Linked DNA regions of Oreochromis niloticus. The protein of the gene in region 1 purifies or fractionates together with the protein of each later gene. This does not show direct contact. Links are inferred from orthologs where the notes say so. Each region holds a gene or a part of one and is shown in the gene's direction. Other genes may lie near its edges. The genes, in order: acbd6 and nmt1a.

The links.
Region 2: the proteins of acbd6 (region 1) and nmt1a purify together in Homo sapiens (co-immunoprecipitation; 3 studies listed by BioGRID and IntAct, with this or other methods). This does not show direct contact. The link is inferred for Oreochromis niloticus from reciprocal best matches to the Homo sapiens genes ACBD6 and NMT1.

The regions. Positions count from the first base shown.
Region 1 is NC_031986.2:44,136,009-44,144,845, reverse strand, and holds the start of acbd6 (acyl-CoA-binding domain-containing protein 6), read left to right. Parts: upstream 1-3,340; 5' UTR 3,341-3,550; coding exon 3,551-3,829; intron 3,830-4,030; coding exon 4,031-4,095; intron 4,096-4,649; coding exon 4,650-4,746; intron 4,747-8,837. Other genes in the region: xpr1a (xenotropic and polytropic retrovirus receptor 1a), read right to left, coding at 393-461. UniProt on the Homo sapiens protein: Binds long-chain acyl-coenzyme A molecules with a strong preference for unsaturated C18:1-CoA, lower affinity for unsaturated C20:4-CoA, and very weak affinity for saturated C16:0-CoA. Does not bind fatty acids. Plays a role in protein N-myristoylation.
Region 2 is NC_031969.2:27,687,834-27,696,670, forward strand, and holds the start of nmt1a (glycylpeptide N-tetradecanoyltransferase 1), read left to right. Parts: upstream 1-4,782; 5' UTR 4,783-4,797; coding exon 4,798-4,997; intron 4,998-6,634; coding exon 6,635-6,740; intron 6,741-6,949; coding exon 6,950-7,094; intron 7,095-8,639; coding exon 8,640-8,758; intron 8,759-8,837. Other genes in the region: plcd3a (1-phosphatidylinositol 4,5-bisphosphate phosphodiesterase delta-3-A), read left to right, coding at 1-115, 278-456, 1,468-1,603, 1,907-2,056, 2,148-2,290.

The DNA.
Region 1 (8,837 bases):
TTACTTATTTTTCACAGTATGAAAAAACGTGTTTTTTTGTTGTTGTTGTTTTTTTAATCAAACAGTTATTTATGTTAATTTTCATATGTGTTAAAATCAACAAACAGCAATAACAAACGCTGAATGCTCCCCATGGCTCTTAACAACCGCAGTCAATTTCCCCTCCATAAACAATAGGCATCCCTTATCTTTCCCGTCGTTTATTGCCCTCAGGAGCAGGCTTTACTGAAACTGGGAAAAATAAATCAAACTTAAAACACTTTACATTTTTCCCTTAGTTAATCGCGACTCTTTTCTTCCAGTTTCCTTATGCACTATGAAAGCAGCTCCGTTTTGGTCAACGTCCGTTTCCACCTCAAATTCATTTTAAATAAACATAAATTCTGCTGTACCTCATACTGAAGATACTGTTTCCTCCACTCTGGAGTGATATGGGACGAAAGATGCTCCGCGAATTTCATTTTGCCGGAACAAGTGTCCCCCTCAAAGCTCTGTTAAATCCGAGCGCGGCTGTCCCCTTCCCCGTCGACGCGACTTTTATTATATCAGTCAACTTGCTGGCTCAACATGCGGCGCGTCAGCCCGGCACACTGCGCTCCTGCTCACTCCACTTCTGGCTCGTCCCGGTCTGCGCACTCCCAGCAGATCCCGTCCCACATACTATTTCATGGGAGGGACAACGAGAACAACAACAGTGGCCTCCGTTTAACAGGTGGTCGGGCGACAGGTTACTGGAGCCGGTGAAAGTGGCTCAGTGACTTTGCTCGGTCCCTCCCTGGGCAAGTCTGGGGACACTGCGGTCCGCCATCGCTATGAACCACTGTGACGTGGTTGCGTCAGCAGAGCGCGCAGTGTAACTCGGACACTGTTGGGACCTCGTGAAAACTGTTAGTGGTGCACCCTAGGACCCCCTCACCGTCTTCGCTTCACTTTGTTTCCTTTGGGGTTTTGTACAGTAGTTAGAAAGCCAGCTGTCAGCTGTGCGTGTCTACAAAAAGAAGAAGGAACAAAGTTAAATATATATTTAAACTGATCAACCAACAGTAATAACTCGTTTAAAAAATATACAGTTATTTCTTTAACTAATACGTGTCTGTGAGGCTTATCTCTCTGTCGTGTGAAGAAAAAGTAGACAATATGGCAGAAAGTCACGTAGACAACAAATTATACGCACTGATGCTTAATGTAAGCTGCTTGTAGCTTTCGGTCTAAAAACAGGTTTACAAGAACACGATAACAGGCTACCACTAGCTTCGTAAAACGATATTCATTAATACTGTTAATATACTGGGAAGTTCCCCGTGTTTACCGCATATGAAGTAGAACAGAAACAGAAAGATACGAAGCAGAAATAATTTGGAAGTTGAGCTTTTACTCAAAGAGAAAAAAAACGTTTAATTTAATAAAAACGTCATCGATTTAAGCTCAGGCTACTCGATTATTTCTCAGCTGAATCCATTTTCGTCCGGGTGAACGTGGTGAGCGAGATCATGTACTTGGGATAAAAAGTGCCAGACGCAAAAATAAAACATCTTTGTGTTAATAGCACCATCTGCTGGACACGATGTGCTAATACATTGTTGTCACAAAGAGTGCTGTGGCAGGTGTCGCAAACATTCAGGTTGATTAATATGTGCTGCAGTAGAATCCAAGTAGAATTTAAACATTTATTTAAAAAAAATCTGGTGGACAGAAAAACGTCGTTAAAAAGTTTTAAATTGAGGCCCTTTAAGGATTTTTGTACCCGAACGAATGTGACCGGAGTTTGCTTTAGAACTTTGATTTTATGCTATTTATTTATCCATAACTATTGTTGCAATTCATTACTGCTCTTTTTAAAAATTATTCTTTTTAAACTGTATTTATTATTTTTGAACTGTATTGCTTATTGCACTGGAGAGGCTGTTGAGAAACAGTATTTCGTTTCAGGCTGGGTGACACCATCCCAAATGACGATAAACTTCTTGAGTCTTGAGTCTTAAAATTAGGCTATTACCTTCTTGTCTGTAGTTATCCTAATGTTAGGATAATAAGAGTCCCTATAAAATAGAACCCATCGCATGCAGACTTCACACACAAAAATGTTCTACCAGGAAATGTCTGTGATGAATATACAGTACTGCGCAAAAGTCTCGAGAATGGATAAAGAATGGACGGATTGTTCATTCCCTACATTTTTCTTCCAAGTTTCCAGACCCTCATTTTTAGGCACTGTGTTACTAACAGTCTGTCACAAAAACACAATTTGTTCTATTTTGTGAAAAATGTCGAAGCTAACACAGTTTGACGGATATCTCGACTAGGTACCAACAAGGTGATTCCTAAAAACGTTGCATATCTCAGCATGGTGAGCAGCATGTTTGTTTTGTTTTGTTTTGTTTTGTTTTGTTTTGTTTTGTAAGGAGGAAGAAAAAACGGAGGAAAACGGAGAAAACCCGGACAAATATAGGACAATAAGTGGCAAGAAGGGAAAAAAGTCCAGGAAAGACCTGACACGGGACCTGATAGAAGCATTTGGCCCTGCAGCTGAAGGACCATTAGAAATGATCTCTGTATAATAGCGGCTGCCAAAAAGACACCGAGGAAAGGCTGAGGTGTGCCTTATTATTACTTAAGAACTAGGAAATAGACTCGACTCTTGTCAAATGAAACTGCGAAAACAAAAAAGTACCATCCCATTTTGATCCACCTTGCCTTAGCGCGACAGAGAACAGAACAACAGGCAGCCAACATCCAAAGAAGAGCTTTGAATGTCCTCCAAAGCCGGGAGAACTATTGCTGAAGAGTACTTACAGAAATGACGAGAAAGCTTACTACAGGGATTTCGGGCTATGAGGAATAACTGTGTTCAAAACAAATATTGACTTTCAAAGTCATTAGAATGGAACAGACTTTGATTTTGCCTTATAAGCTTTATTTTGATTTATCTTCGCAGATTTCTTTAATCAGTTGCTGTACCCAATTCCAATTTTCCAGCAAAATATAAAGAAATGGGTTAATGGCTGTCTCGAAATACAGTACTTTACGTAGTTTTTTAAATTATTATTATTTGAGGAGATTTCAATAAACATTTTTCCACCCAAAGTATCAACAAACCCACCGCAAGCTACTTTAGCGCTCGAGTTTTTCCTGGTTGCTGTGTAGGTTGCTATGTCACGTTATCGTAGGTCAAATAATAATATATATTATCTGGCTAACTTAAATACTTTATTTTCATTTAGAAAATATTTAGTTTTTGTTTAATCATTCATAACAAATATACAGAAAAGCGCGTGTTCGCGTGTTTACTTGTACCGGAGTCGGAACCTTTCTTACTAACAGCGATTTTTTACCGGCGCTTTTAAATTGACAGTACCAGACACGGACCTACGGCAGAAACAGATCCGACTGTCACGGATTTGCTACGATAACGGATTAAAATCCAAGTCTTTGCTGAAACACTTTGCAGACATAATATAAATAACAGGCAGCTGCTCTCCGTGCGCTTCTCAGCGTTTCTCACGGAGATCCGCGGCTCCCGTCGTTTGAGACGCTATAAACAATAATAACAATGGCTTCTGGTTCGCCGTCGTCCTCTCCGGACACCGCGACGGGCTCAGGTACGGATCCAGCCCGGCCCGACACAGGAGAGCCCCTCGGTGGAGCAGGCTCGGACTCGGATTCGGACTTGGGTTTGAGTAAATTTGACTGCAGCGCCATGGAGGTGGGGGACCGGCTGGAGGGAGAAGAGCTGGAGCGCGAGTTCGAGTCTGCCGCCGACCGCGTAAAAGACTTGATACAGACGGCCAGCAGGGACCAGCTGCTGTACCTGTACGCTCGCTACAAACAGGTGATTGTACGGTTAAATGTCACTGTGTGTGTGTCGGCCACACTCGAGCCTTCAAGTAGTTGCACCACGCAGCTTTAGACGGGACACCCCCACATGCCATGAATCTCAGCATTTATGTGACTCCTCTGGTATTTAATCGAGTCAGGCTCACAGCTGCAGGTGACATTAAATCAGATATGTAATGTGATTTTGTATCTATAGGTCAAAGTGGGGAAGTGCAATACACCAAAACCTGGTTTCTTTGACTTTGAAGGACAAAGAAAATGGTAAGTAGCCCAGATTTCACTTTGCACATATTTTTAAAGCCTTATAGGTCAAGTAAGTCAATTCAGTTCACTTTTACTTAAATGGCACCAAATCACAACAGCAGACGCCTCATTGTAAGGTAAAGAACCTTCAATAATAAAAAGAAAACTCCAACAATCAGACGACTCCCTACGAGCAAGCACTTGGCAACAGTGGGAAGGAAAAACTCCCTTTTAAACAGGAAGAAACGTCTGGCAGAACCAGGCTCAGGGAGGGGCAGCCATATGCTGTAAGGGAAACCAGTAATGTGTTTCTATTTTAGATTCTAATTCAAGTGTGTCTGTGAGGGCAACAGATAGCACCCATGATGGGATCCATGTTCAGATGCTTGATGAAGAAAAATGTTTCTGCTACTTAAAATAAACCACTATTCACAAACAACCTGTCCTCTTGCAAAGTATTAAAATGGTTCCACGCAAGTCAGTGAATCTAATAGTTCTATTTTCATGTTTTAGTTCACGGGGTGTGAAAATCTTTAACGGTCATTACTTTTGTAATTGTGATATCATAACAGGCAAGCCTGGAAGCAGCTTGGAGACATGGATCAGGAACAAGCAATGCAAGAGTATATTTCCTGTGTCAACATCTTAGACCCTGAAGGCAGCACAAAGGTAATTCCTGAGAATTTATTTTTAATCCTCATTTTGATTCCAAACTGAAGCAGAGGTGGGTTAATGTTCCTAAGGGGCCATACGAGAAACTGGGACTGTTGTGGAGGGTCACCAGTAAGTTTATAAAGAGATCAAATTAACCTTTTTATTGCAGTGGATCTTATGATAACATAGATTATAAAACATTAATTATACATTTATAACAGTTCATTTGCTTTCAGCTCAGCCTTTACTGCAGCAGTTTTCTTTGTGGTAATAATCTGATTTTATGGATGACGATCCTTTTGTAGAGAATGGTAATTGTTGAATGTCAATGTTAGTATTGCCATTCATCATGCTCCTTATGACTTTTATGGTCTTGGTTTTGAATATATGTAGAAAGAGTTTCTGGTGCTCGTCACTTTATACATTTTCTGGTTATGTGGTCGTCTGAAGTGTTTGAAAAGAAGGCAACTAAACCTTTTGCTTCTTGAAGATGTTTCACCTCCCATCCAAGAGGCTTCTGCTGTTCTAAAACAAGAGATTGAGAGTTTCAGGTATCTGACCCCTAGAAGAGGCTGTCCTCTTGGAGGTGGTAGTGATCCTGTGGGTCTTCATATGAGCCCAGGCCTGAAAAAAGGCGTGGGTCATTGTCACCAGGGGTCATTCACAGTGGACATAGATGGGCTCCTGTACTCCTTTCTCAAATAATCTGTGAAAAATCTGAACATTGGCATCATTGAAGAGTGTCCTTTCCCCTTTAAGAGAAGGTGTACAGCTGAGTCTTGACTGATGTGACTTTCTTGTTGTGCCATGCGTCTGTGGAGTCTTGTTTCTCTTACGTAAAGGTCCGAGCACTCCTCACATGGTACACTACGCTGTTGAGCTTGTGTTCGGGGGTGAACTAGTTTTTGTCTGAGGGTGTTGCTGGATCAGAAGTGCACTGTGATGTTTATGCGTAGAGAAAATTCTGAGTTACTTACCACATAAGGAACAACAGTGTCATTCTGTTTCTTCCTGGTTGTTATTTATTTCTGACTAATACTTTATATACCTGATAACAAAATCTGGAAATGTGCATGAACTAAAACAAACCTTTAAAGGTAAGATGTCTGAAATTAGGATAAAAAGGATGACGGATATACAACAGAACCATCCGTGTCATTGGTGTGCCCTTAAGGTGAAGTACCGGGTGTTTACCAGCAGGTGTCACTGTCACATTGTCATTTTGTTGAAACCGTGTTGCAGCTCATTTTCTGCACATTACAAAGAAAAATAAGCACTTTGTGCAGTTTTGCTCAGTGGCTGATATTTTGGAATAGTAATTATTTAAGAAATGTTAATATTAAGGCTGTTGGGATGTGGTAATTTGTATAGTGACTGTTTACATCTCTACACTCTTATTCGTCTGTGTCAGGAGAGTTGCCTTAAACATGTTGTTCTTTGGGACAACATTAGGTTTCAACACCAACCTTGGATGGTTTGCAGTAATGGAGTATGCTCTTCATACTGATAAAACACTCATTTTTATACTTTGTTTTATAGATGATCTGAAACTTGGAATGATAAAGTTTGTTGCAGCAGTGAGTGAGCACCAGTGTCACAGTTTAGTGTTTACACTCTCCGATAATCTATTAAAGTCACTGTTAGATATTGGGTATCTTATGCTGCCTTTGCTGATAATAGCTTTGGCCCGAGGAATTCTGTTTATGGCTCGTCTGTTCTTCCATCCTTCTTTTGTCCGTTTGGGAACCTGATATCACAGGAATGCTTTCTTCATGTTTGGCACAAACCTCCACTTGGACTGAAGTGATTAGTTTAGTGGTCAAGGTTACTGTGACCTCTCAAAACACATTTGACTCGATTCATATTTTCATTCATATACAATTCGTGTAGTAACGAGGACTAAATGTAACACAAATCTTTAATAGGACAAAGCTGATGATATTTTATATTCCAAAACTCAAATGTTCACAATGAAACACAAAACATGTCAAATGTTTAAACCGAGAAAATGAACCATTTTAAGAAAAAGCTTATTTAAAATTTGACGGCACATATTAAAAAAATAAATAAATTGGGACAGATCCATGTTTACCACAGTGCAGAATCCCCTCTTCTGTTAACAACAGTGTGTAAACATCTGCAAACTGAGGAGACCGGCTGCTGGACTGTAGGGAGAGGATGGCGTCCCGTTCTTTCATTCTGTTTGTTTGTTTGGTTTTTTGGCTTTTTTTTTTTTTTTTTTTTTTTTAAACGGTTCAGCAGTGAAGAGTAGACTAGAAAAAAGGGGGAGAGCGAGCAGGGGAAGACACTCAGCAAAGGGTCCCAGGTTTTACTTGAACCCGGGCTGAAGGGCGTCTGCTCAGCTGGTGCACTTTGTCTCACTCTTGTCTGATATAAGATTCTAGCTGCTCAGCGGTCCTGGGTCTTTGTCATATTCTTCATCTCATGAAGCTCCAAATGTTTTCAGTTTGGGAAACATCTTGACTAAAGGCAGGCCTCTTCAGCATCTGGACTCTTCTTAGATCATCATCGTCTTCCAGAAATATGCACGGCCGTCCCTGAAAGAAGCTCATCTGGATGGGAGCATGTGTTGCTATAAAACCTACATACACACCTTTCAGCCTTTCCAGATGTGCAAAGCACCCATCAGTACTGAAATCCTGAAACCATCATGTTCCAGCGGCACAAATGCGCTCGTTACAATCACAGATGCAGGATTTTGGACCTGCTCATCTTGAGTCCAGAGGACACTGTGTTCATGTTTTCCATAAATAATTGCAAGTTTTGATTAATCTCACCACAAAACAGTTTTACACTTTGTTTCAGACAATTTTAAATGACCTTTGGCCCGGAGAAGATGGCTGGATCATGTTCACATGTTCTTCGTATGATAGAGCTCTGACCTGCGTTTGTGGATGACATGGTGAACATTTTATTTCTGTAACTGTTCCTGAGCCCTGCAGTGACTTTAATGACAGTCATGCACCTGAAGATCACAGATTTCTTCGGGCTCATAGAACCTTTTAAGGATGTTGTGTCCTGTAGATGATAAAATATTTAAAGTCTTCACAATTTGAAGCTGAGGATCATCGCGCTGAAATTGTTCTTCGTAGATGCAGTTTTGTACAAATTGATGCACATCTTTACTTGTGTCTCTCCAAGATGCTCTTTTATGCCCAGTGATGCTGCTGACCTGTTGCAAGTTAACCTAACTTTGCAAAATCTTCCTCCAGCTCTTTCTTTTAACTACTACTCACTTTTACTCCTCCAACTCTGAGACATGTCACTGCCATCAGATTCAAAACGAGCTCATATTTTACACAAAATAGTCGAATGTCTCGGTTTAAGCATTTCAGTGTTTTCTGTATTGGATTGTGACTAAAATATATGTTTGAGACTTGCAGATCATTGATTCGCATCACGACTCTCGTGGAACTGGGGTGTCATTTTCATAAATCGTGTCTTTCTTTGAGATGAATGGTTTGCTGTGTTCGTGATACAAAGAGCACATGTGAACATGAGAAAGGGTGCACTCTTTAAACAGAGGGATGGGCACACAGTCACATATGCACAGCTATGCTTGGCTGCAAAGGAACACTGAAACATTCATTTTTAAAGGCAGTCTGTGCAACTTGCTCTTTTTCCCATTAACCCCCTCCCAGTCTTCCATTCACTTTGCTGCCCCCCCACCCACACCCCACCCCCACCCCCACCGTCATTTCTGTCTCCCAAATAGCATCACTGTCAACCACATATCCCATCCTGACACATTTCTCTTCCACCAAGCTGTGGGGCAATACTCGCTGACTCTGCCCTAAGCCACACAATACCAGAGGTGGGCCCAGCAAAAGCACCGCTACCCTGCCTGTAAAGAACCTGATTCTATTAGTGTTAACAAAGCGCCATAGCATGGCAGCAGCTATTCTTTTGGAAGCACAGTTAAATGGTGTAAGTAGGAGTGCATAGACAGAGAAGCAGGGGAGAGAATAATAGCCACAGTTTGACCTCTGTTCCCGTCTCAATTGTTGAGCAGACACTGCCTTTATATTGCATTATACTGCAGAGGAGCAGGGCCAGTGCATCAGCGAATATTCTGAGTTTCTGAA
Region 2 (8,837 bases), on another chromosome or scaffold:
AAGCTTTTTGTAAGACACAACAGCAGGCAGCTGAGCCGGATCTACCCTTGTGGCCAGCGCCTTCAATCATCCAACTATGATCCTCAGGAAATGTGGAACTGTGGATGCCAGCTGGGTTGGTACTCCACACTGAAAGCTACGCTGCTGTTCAGATGGAAGCAAAAAAAATGTTTTTTAAAAACCCAGAGACGTGTTTTATTTCTGTAAATTTAATGTCATGTATCCCACTGACATCTCTGATTCCGTGTCCCTCCACTTTCCTCTTTGTGCCATTAAGTGGCTCTAAACTTCCAGACGGCCGGGGAGCAAATGGACCTGAACCAGGGTCGCTTCCTTGTAAATGGTCGCTGTGGATACGTCCTCAAACCCAGCTTCCTGTGCAGTCCCACATCCAACTTTAACCCAGAAAACACGGGAGGAGGCCCCGGTCATACCCCCACTCAGCTGACTATACGAGTGAGTAACTGTTACTAAGGATCACATTTACAGGGGGATGATGAAATTAACATTATATTTATCTAGATACACAAAAATCCAAAGAATGTGAATTCACCATCGTTTTTTAAAGCATATAGATTTTAATAACCGCTATATATGTGATGAAGTTTTTCCAAAGTTTCGTTCAGATGTGACTACCTGTTAAGGAGGACATAGACGTTATAGTACAATTTCTCTACCGCTGTTCTAAGCTTAACATAAAAAGTAAGGAAGTTAGTGTTTGGTTAATTATTTCTTTGTGGTAACAATTCTTCTTTGTAATAAATCGTATATACCACTGGAAGAATACCAATTTGTAAGGAAAATGCATTTGTGGGTTGAGCAGTAGTGTTGAGAATGTGGGTTGCACTCATGAAAAACCTGCCAAATCTTCTCTGCCAATGCCAAACAGCTTATTCTGCTATTAACTCTTGTTTGGTGTCATTTATTGGATTGGATAATTGAATTCTGAAGAAACAAGACATACTGGTAGTTTAACAGCAGTAAATGCTGGTTGAAAAATGTCATCCCATCCCACAGCAGTGTGCGACCAAGCTGGTCACCAACATGAGGAGGAGGTACTAGGCTGTTGTGAGGCCCCTGGTATGTGTTGTTTTTTTTATAGACAAATAAAGAAGCTTTCCAACGGTATACAATTTATTGCTAAGAAGCATTGTTAGAAGAAAAAGGAAGTTTCCTTCCTTTTTGTGGCAAGTTTATTTTTCGTAGTGTCATTTAGTTCTTGTTATTACTGTCCATACTTACATTTTTATCATAGAGAGGCCATCCTCTGTTGTTCCTCTGGAAGAGTTCCCTTATGTCTAAACTAGAGTCTAAACATAGAGCTATTGTGTGCTATCCAGTCGAGCCCTGTTAGCGCAATTTGCAATTTCGGATTTTGCAAAAAAGTTGCCTCCAATAGACTTTTTTTTATACATTTCTAATGATAATTTCATGCACACAATGATGAATTATGTTTTGCTTTTTCAGATAATATCTGCACAACAGCTGCCAAAAATCAACACAGAGAAGGCGAGCTCCATTGTGGATCCACTAGTGTGGGTGGAAATTCATGGGGTGGCTATTGATAAAGCAAAACAAAAAACCCACCGCATTGACAACAATGGTAAGTTTTATTTTTTTATCCACAACAACAAAAATTTTTTAAGAAATTTATTTGATTTTTTTTCTTTGCAGATTGATAATATCTTCGTTATCTATGAATATTTAAATTTCTGTAAATTAGTGTTACTTTTATAATGCAGCGACAGGAGACAAGAGATGATGTCCGAAAGCTTCTTTGTACCTTATTCAAATCTTGGAATATATATTTGTGTAGGAGTCTTTTCAATCCAATGCCATGATTAGTTTGTTTGAAAGGTTTAATGCACCAGATGGTGTATTTACAGCTCTTGTGCGCCCTCTGCAGGTTTCAACCCTCGCTGGGACTGTACTCTGAGCTTCCAGCTGCAGGTCCCTGAGCTGGCCCTGGTGCGGTTTGTAGTGGAGGACCACGATCATGCTACCAAAAATGACTTCGTGGGGCAGTTCACTTTACCTTTTACAAGCTTTCGCATAGGTGCTTATTAAGATTTAGTCTACAAGTCAGTCATGTATCAGTTCTTCACTCTCGGCTGTTCTTTTTAATATGTGTCATACTCCCCACCCAGGTTATCGACATATTCACTTACTGAAGGCAGATGGTTCCAGCCTTTCTCCTGCTACACTCTTTATCCATGTCAAAGTGACTCGCAGAGGTGTTCCTGTCAAAACTATGGCTGAGCGTATTGCCGCTGCCAAAGGCAAAGCGTGACACACATCTGAACAAGACAATCAGACATCTGGACAATGAAGGACCTTGGAAGGAGGAGCTCCGAGTGTAAACAGACAGAGACAGAATGCTGCTGTTGCTGTTGTCTTACAGTTCAGACCCCAAGTGGTCCAATTTACACAAAACCACTTCCCAGTGCTTAAAGAAAGGTGTCTGTCAGAAATGGAGACATGCCCTCTGGTGACTGTAATTCATTAAAAAACACAGAAAAGGGACTGTTAGAGAGAATGAAAATCATTTATTTTATGTCACCATTTTATTTTTTAACGTGTTTTTTTTTAAACTTGAAGAATAATGATCGCTGAAGTAAAATAGCACTTCTTAAACTGATGCTATAAAAGAATTGCAATGAGATGGAAACCAAGCGTAAGTAACTGTGTTTGACAATATCCATAAATGTCAGTGTTTTAGATGTTATTATTGGCAGCATTAACTGTGATGTAATACAGATTTAATTTTGTGTTAGTGAGTGCGCCAGGGCCCCGTGGCCCATGTTGGCTATGTACAAGTACTCGATACTCCAGATATCTGGGCACTTTTAAATTCTCTCTGGAAGACAAATGTTAACATGTTCTCACATCTTCCAGTAGAACATGACAAGCTTAACTTGCAAAGATAAGCTTTTTTCTTAAATGTCTTGTATTTTATCTTAGCATCATTTCAGATACGTTCAAATGTGCTTTTTTAAAATCATATTTGAATTTTAACGATACAGTATTTCCATATAAGCTTCTTTCATTTTGTCAATTTTTGTCCTTGTATTCAGATCTAGAAAAAATGCTGGTTAAAAACTAATTGCATCAATCTAATACAACCACTAATTACTCCAGGCTACAGTGAATCTTTTAATACTCTTATAAGGAGGTTCACTGATAATAAAATGGTCCAGCGATGAAAAGTAATTACTGTAATTACATTTTTAATGGTCACGCTGGTTTTGAGGAGAATGTAATATGTGTTTAATAGTGAGTGAAGTAAAACTTTGCTCTCTTAATGTTTAATATAGAAGCTGTGGGATGCGTTTGAGTGGTTATGTTTGCAAGAAAAATGTTTTTATAAAGCACTTCTAACATTTTTTTTTCACATGCTGTCAAAAGATACAAGTGTCTTTTTTAGTTTCAAAAGTCCACAGTGTTGTCTGTGGATACCTGACACTTTAATAAATGCATAACCAGAAGGTTGTACTGTGAATTTTTGTCTGACTTTTCTGTGATAATCTAAAACTGTCAGCCTAAAACATAATAAATCTTTACATTCCAACATTAGAACTATCAATAGATATGTCCCTGCCTGATTAGGCCAAAAGTAAAGACAAAAAAGGGAAACTCTTAGCAATATTTATGACATTTCACATTATACAGCATGGCAGCAATTTCTCCAACAACTGGACTTCTTTTTGTCTCCAAGCATCTCTATGAATTATGAGCTAATCCACCCACTGAATATTTTGTGGTAAACTTAATTAAATACAAAAACACACACAGTGTGTTGTGAATGACACTCAGCAACACCACAACAACAGAAAAGGGAGGAAGTCAGTATTAGTTTTTTCCCTCAAGAAAAACGTTGGTAAAAAGTCTTAAGTTGACGCTAAAATCATGACAGACATGTTTTTAACATCAGCAAAAATGGTTCAAAAATACACCTCAAATATAGTAATATAGTCCCTGTTGATATCTAGGTCAAAATGTTGACTTGCTAATAAAAAGTAATCACACACGGCTCTCTGAAATAATTATTAGCAAATTATTTGGCAGTCACATGTTATCGTCTCATGTGACTGCCATGATTTCTTATACTGTGCATGTTGCAGCTCTATGGGTATTTTGTCCAAGTGTTGGTGCTGTAGCTGTAGCTCCATTTCTGTAGTAATCATTATTAAACACCGTGTCACTACTTGTAATATATTCATGCAAAACGTGAATGGAAGAATGTCCCGTTAGCTTACTTCATGCAAAAACTGGGTTCTTTAATGCCCCCATTATTATGAAAATAAATAAGATGTGGACCTAAAAGGTTTTGGCTGCTTTGGAGGCGCTAATCATTACGCAGACTACGTAAATGAACAGCTAATGTACATTTTTTACCTGTTAGTGCCTTTTAACTGGCTTTCAAATAAGAAATATCAACGCCACAATGCTTAATCTGCTCAGTTGGTCTCATTCAATTCCTAAGTCTGAGCATGACTTTACCTTCTTACTCACCCTGTTGTAATATTAATTTATTAGGCCTCAGATTTTCTTTCAAGCTGCACTATCACACACGTGTTTCCACTTAAGCGCTTTCATTTGCCTTTGGGTTGTATGCACGTCACATGGCTGTTTGTCTTTAGAGGGAAAAATATATTAAATACACAAAAAATATATTTTTACTGTGGCTGTGAAAACTTAAAAATGGACGCTTTAAAACGATAAGCCGTGCCCGCTCCATTACGAGCCATTTGTTTATCGTAAATATTTGGAAATGGTCGGGTAAAAAACAGGACGACCATGGCTACGCCTCCACTGCGTGTCTCAGCCAATAGCGTCGAGGCTGTTTTAAAGGTGTCAAGGGGCACGCGGTGGCGTCTCACTTCCTGGTTGAAGATGGCGGATGAGAATGAGACAGCACCGATGCCGGAGAAAGAAGATGTAGAGGATCACGGACACTGCAGCGACTGTGAAAATGAAGAGCACCACTTTGACGATGGGTAAGGAGGCAGGCTTACTCGGTCGGTGGCGTAAAATACGTCGCGGCTCTGTAGATTTTAACAAAATTAACTTAAACTGAACCTCGGCGAGCAGTCGGGATAGACGGCCATCCTTAGACGTCGTCCAGCCCATTTTCTTTCATCCTATTGGTTAGTAGCAACGTTCGCTTGCTTGTTCTTTCATCCGATTGGCTGAGAAGGATGTCTTTTCCAAATATAGGCTGGACTTAGCGTTTTCCTAAGTATATGGTTAGAAAGGAGAAGGTAAAGTGCGTTTAGAAGCCAATTTTACACCAAGACTTGTGTTTTCGTTACTCACAAACCTTTCAGAAAAAATAAACTTTTAATTAAGTTGATTTTTTTATGGTGTTCTTCGCATGCCGTTGCTATGTTAAGGGTAAATGATGCAAATCACGTTTACGCCAGCTGACATGTAGCGTGTTAGCTTGCATGCTAGCGTACCTGGCATTGTCTGTGTGTGTGTGTGTGTGTGTGTGTGGATTCGGCGCAAGATCAAAAGTGAAACAAGCACAAACGTGCATGCAAAAAGCACGCAGCTTAAAAATAATATACTTGGGTCTCGGCGTTGTGAAGTGAGGGCTTTGAATTTCCTTTTTAATCACATAAATGTTCGCGATCTTAAAGCAGCCCAGCTCGGTTGCTCTTATTGAATACAAGCTTTGATAAAAACCCTGTTTTTCTCTTAATGTATCTTTAAAAAAAAAGTTGTGTCATATATGAAAGGGCAAAGCAGCCGAGCTTTGTTTTTAGCAGAACAAGAATGCGCCTCTGTAAGGTGGTTTTCGCAAAATCTGATCACTAACTGGAGGAAATCTGACCCGACAGCCACACGTTTACGTTTTTAAAGACACAAAGAAGGGAATAATGATAAAGTCTGAGAAAAGAATAAACCTAATGTTGCAGAATTCTACCTCAAACCCACTTTGCTGTATGGCTAAACATATTCCCCCTGCAGGTCTTTGAACCTTCCTGCACTCAGAAACAATTGTTTGGCCCCTTAACTGCTCTACCCTGTTGAAATGGAAAGTGGGAGAACAAACCATTGAATGTTTTGTTGTCCATTGTTCCAGTCACTTGCTGGGCTCTTGTACATACAGTACATAAACACACACGCACAGATACTCTTCTTCTAGATGTCATCTGATTCACCATCTGTGCTGGTGTTACAAATACAGGCCACGTACTGGCCTGCATTTCTCCCCTCTTGGACACTAATGAGATTATCTTGTGTAAGTATGTTGCCAGAAGATGAAGTAGCATGCTGGAGATATGTGGCTTTTCTGGTTGGAGCAGATCAGAAGAGGGTTATTCTGAAAATCTGCACTGCTGCAAACGAGTTGTAAATTTCTGTATGTTTTAGCTGAAGGACTGGTTTTATTGTGTCTTTAGCTGCCCTACAGCTACACTTCTTGTTGTTAGTTTAAACACACAGCTACTCCTCAGCTAACAAGGCTTTGCATCAGCAATGAAAAGTAAATTGTGTTGGAATTGTCGGTGGTTTAATAATCTTGGCTGTTGTTTAAAAGCAGATTGCAAAAAATAAATTTCCAACATGATTTTCTTTTCTTCTGAGATCAGTCTTAAAAAGGATGCCATATATTTCTGTCCTGTTCCAGTGAGAGGGGTCTTGGGGACGACACTGGCGCCAAGAAGAAGAAAAAGAAGCAGAAAAAGAAGAAGAAATCTGGTGCCACAGAAGCAGCTCAGGACCCCCTTGCCAAGGCATGAACTTATGCATTTCTGTCTTAACGGGTTATAAACCTAACCTAAAAAGAAAGGAAAAACAGTCCAGTTAAGGTGTAATCTACTAAAATCACAGTTTAGATACAGAATGGTAAAGACTGTTTGGACTGTTTAGATAGGATCAACAGTGTTGACTTCTGTTTGCTGTGGTCTTGTTTGATGTATATTCCTGTTTACTTCCCAAACAGGTGAATTCGTTGCCAGCTGATAAGCTACAGGAGATCCAAAAGGCCATTGAACTGTTCTCTGTTGGCCAAGGTCCAGCCAAAACCATGGAGGAGGCCACTCGGAGGAGTTACCAGTTCTGGGACACACAGCCTGTGCCCAAACTAGGTATGGTTACAGATGGCGTAGTTCTGTTTTTCATGCCAATATGTAGCTTATAGGTCAAATCTTTAGGGATTGATAAAATAATGTTTTTGTTGTTGTTGTTTTGGGGGTTTTTCTGCAAGTGGGCTTACACAGATGGTCAGTTAACACAGAGTGAACAGAAGGAAAAAAGGCTTGTACTTATGACTCAAGTATGCAAAAGCTCAGTACAAAAGCATTATTTTGCAATCTGTTGATGAAATGTGTCTATAATTGTGAAAGGAATCAGTAATTGGGCATGGTTAAGAGGATGCAACATACTCATCAGCCACTTTGTTAGGTACACCATGGTAGTACTGAATTGGACCCTATTTTACCTTCAGAACTGCCATGATTCCTAATGGCGTAGACTTGAAATGTGCTGGAAACATTCCTCAGAAATTTTCGGCCATATTGACATGATGACATCACACGGTTGCTGTAGAACTGTCAGCTGCACATGCATTTCTCCCATTTCAATACACCACAGATGTGCTCTTTTTGTTTGCAGTCTGGTGAATTGGGAGGCCATTTGAGTACACTGACCTCATTTCATGTTCAAGTATCCAGTTTGCGATTACTTGACCTTTATTATATGACATGGTAGCCTACTGGAAGCAGCCATCAGAAGATTGGTACATTGTGGGCATAAAGGGAATTAAATTGTCAGCAACAGTACTCAGGAAGGCTGTGGAGTTTAAATGTTGTTTTATTCTGAGGGGACCAATCTGGCCAAGAAAGCTTTCCCCACACTGTTGCTTCACTGCCAGTGTCCTGAGCTTTTGGCAACATAAATCTATGCCAAACTCTGACCCTACCATCCGAATGTCACAGCAGAAACTAGGACTCATCAAACCAGGCAAAATTTCTAATGTCTTCTGTTCTACAGTTTTGGTAAGCTGAATTTTAGCCACAGTCTTCTGTTCGTAGCTGACAAGAGTGGCACCCACTGTAGTCTGCTTCAAGGTTTGACTGTTGTGTATTCAGAAATGCTCTGCTGCATACTTTTGTTGTAAAAAGTAGTTAACTGAGGTCCTGGTGCTTTTCTGTCAGCTCAAAGCAGCCTGGCTCTATGCTCCTTTGACATCATCAAAGCATTTTGTCCCAAATAACTACCACTCACTGGATATTTTCTAATTTTCTGGCCATTCTCTTTAAGTCCTAGAGATGGTTGTGGGGAAAATCAGTAGTAGATCAGCAGTTTCTGAAATATTCAGACCAATCCATCCAGCACCAACAACCGTACTACAGTCATAGTCACCTAAATTAGCTTTCCTCCCCATTTTGCTGCTTGGTTTGAAATTCAGCAGGTCATCTTATCAATGTCTACCTGCCTACATGCACAGAGTTTCTGTCAGGTAAAGGGCTGATGAGAGATTTGCATAAATGTTGGAAATGTGTACCTAATGAAGTGGCCAGTGGATATGTACCATTGCTTTCTGGTCTTCTAAGAGTGACGGTCTGAAAGACAAGTGTATATGTTTTGCAGGTTTTTGTGCTTTGTCAGACTTCTGTTTGCTTTTCCTTCAGGGGAGACGGTGACATCACACGGCTCCATTGAACCTGACAAAGACAACATTCGAGAAGAGCCCTACAGCCTCCCGCAGGGCTTCAGCTGGGACACCCTCGACCTGGGGAACCCCGCTGTGGTAAGAAAGCGTATAAACACAAACACTCACAGCAAGCATGCACAGGAGGAATTCATCTTTCAGTAACAAGTCCTGGACT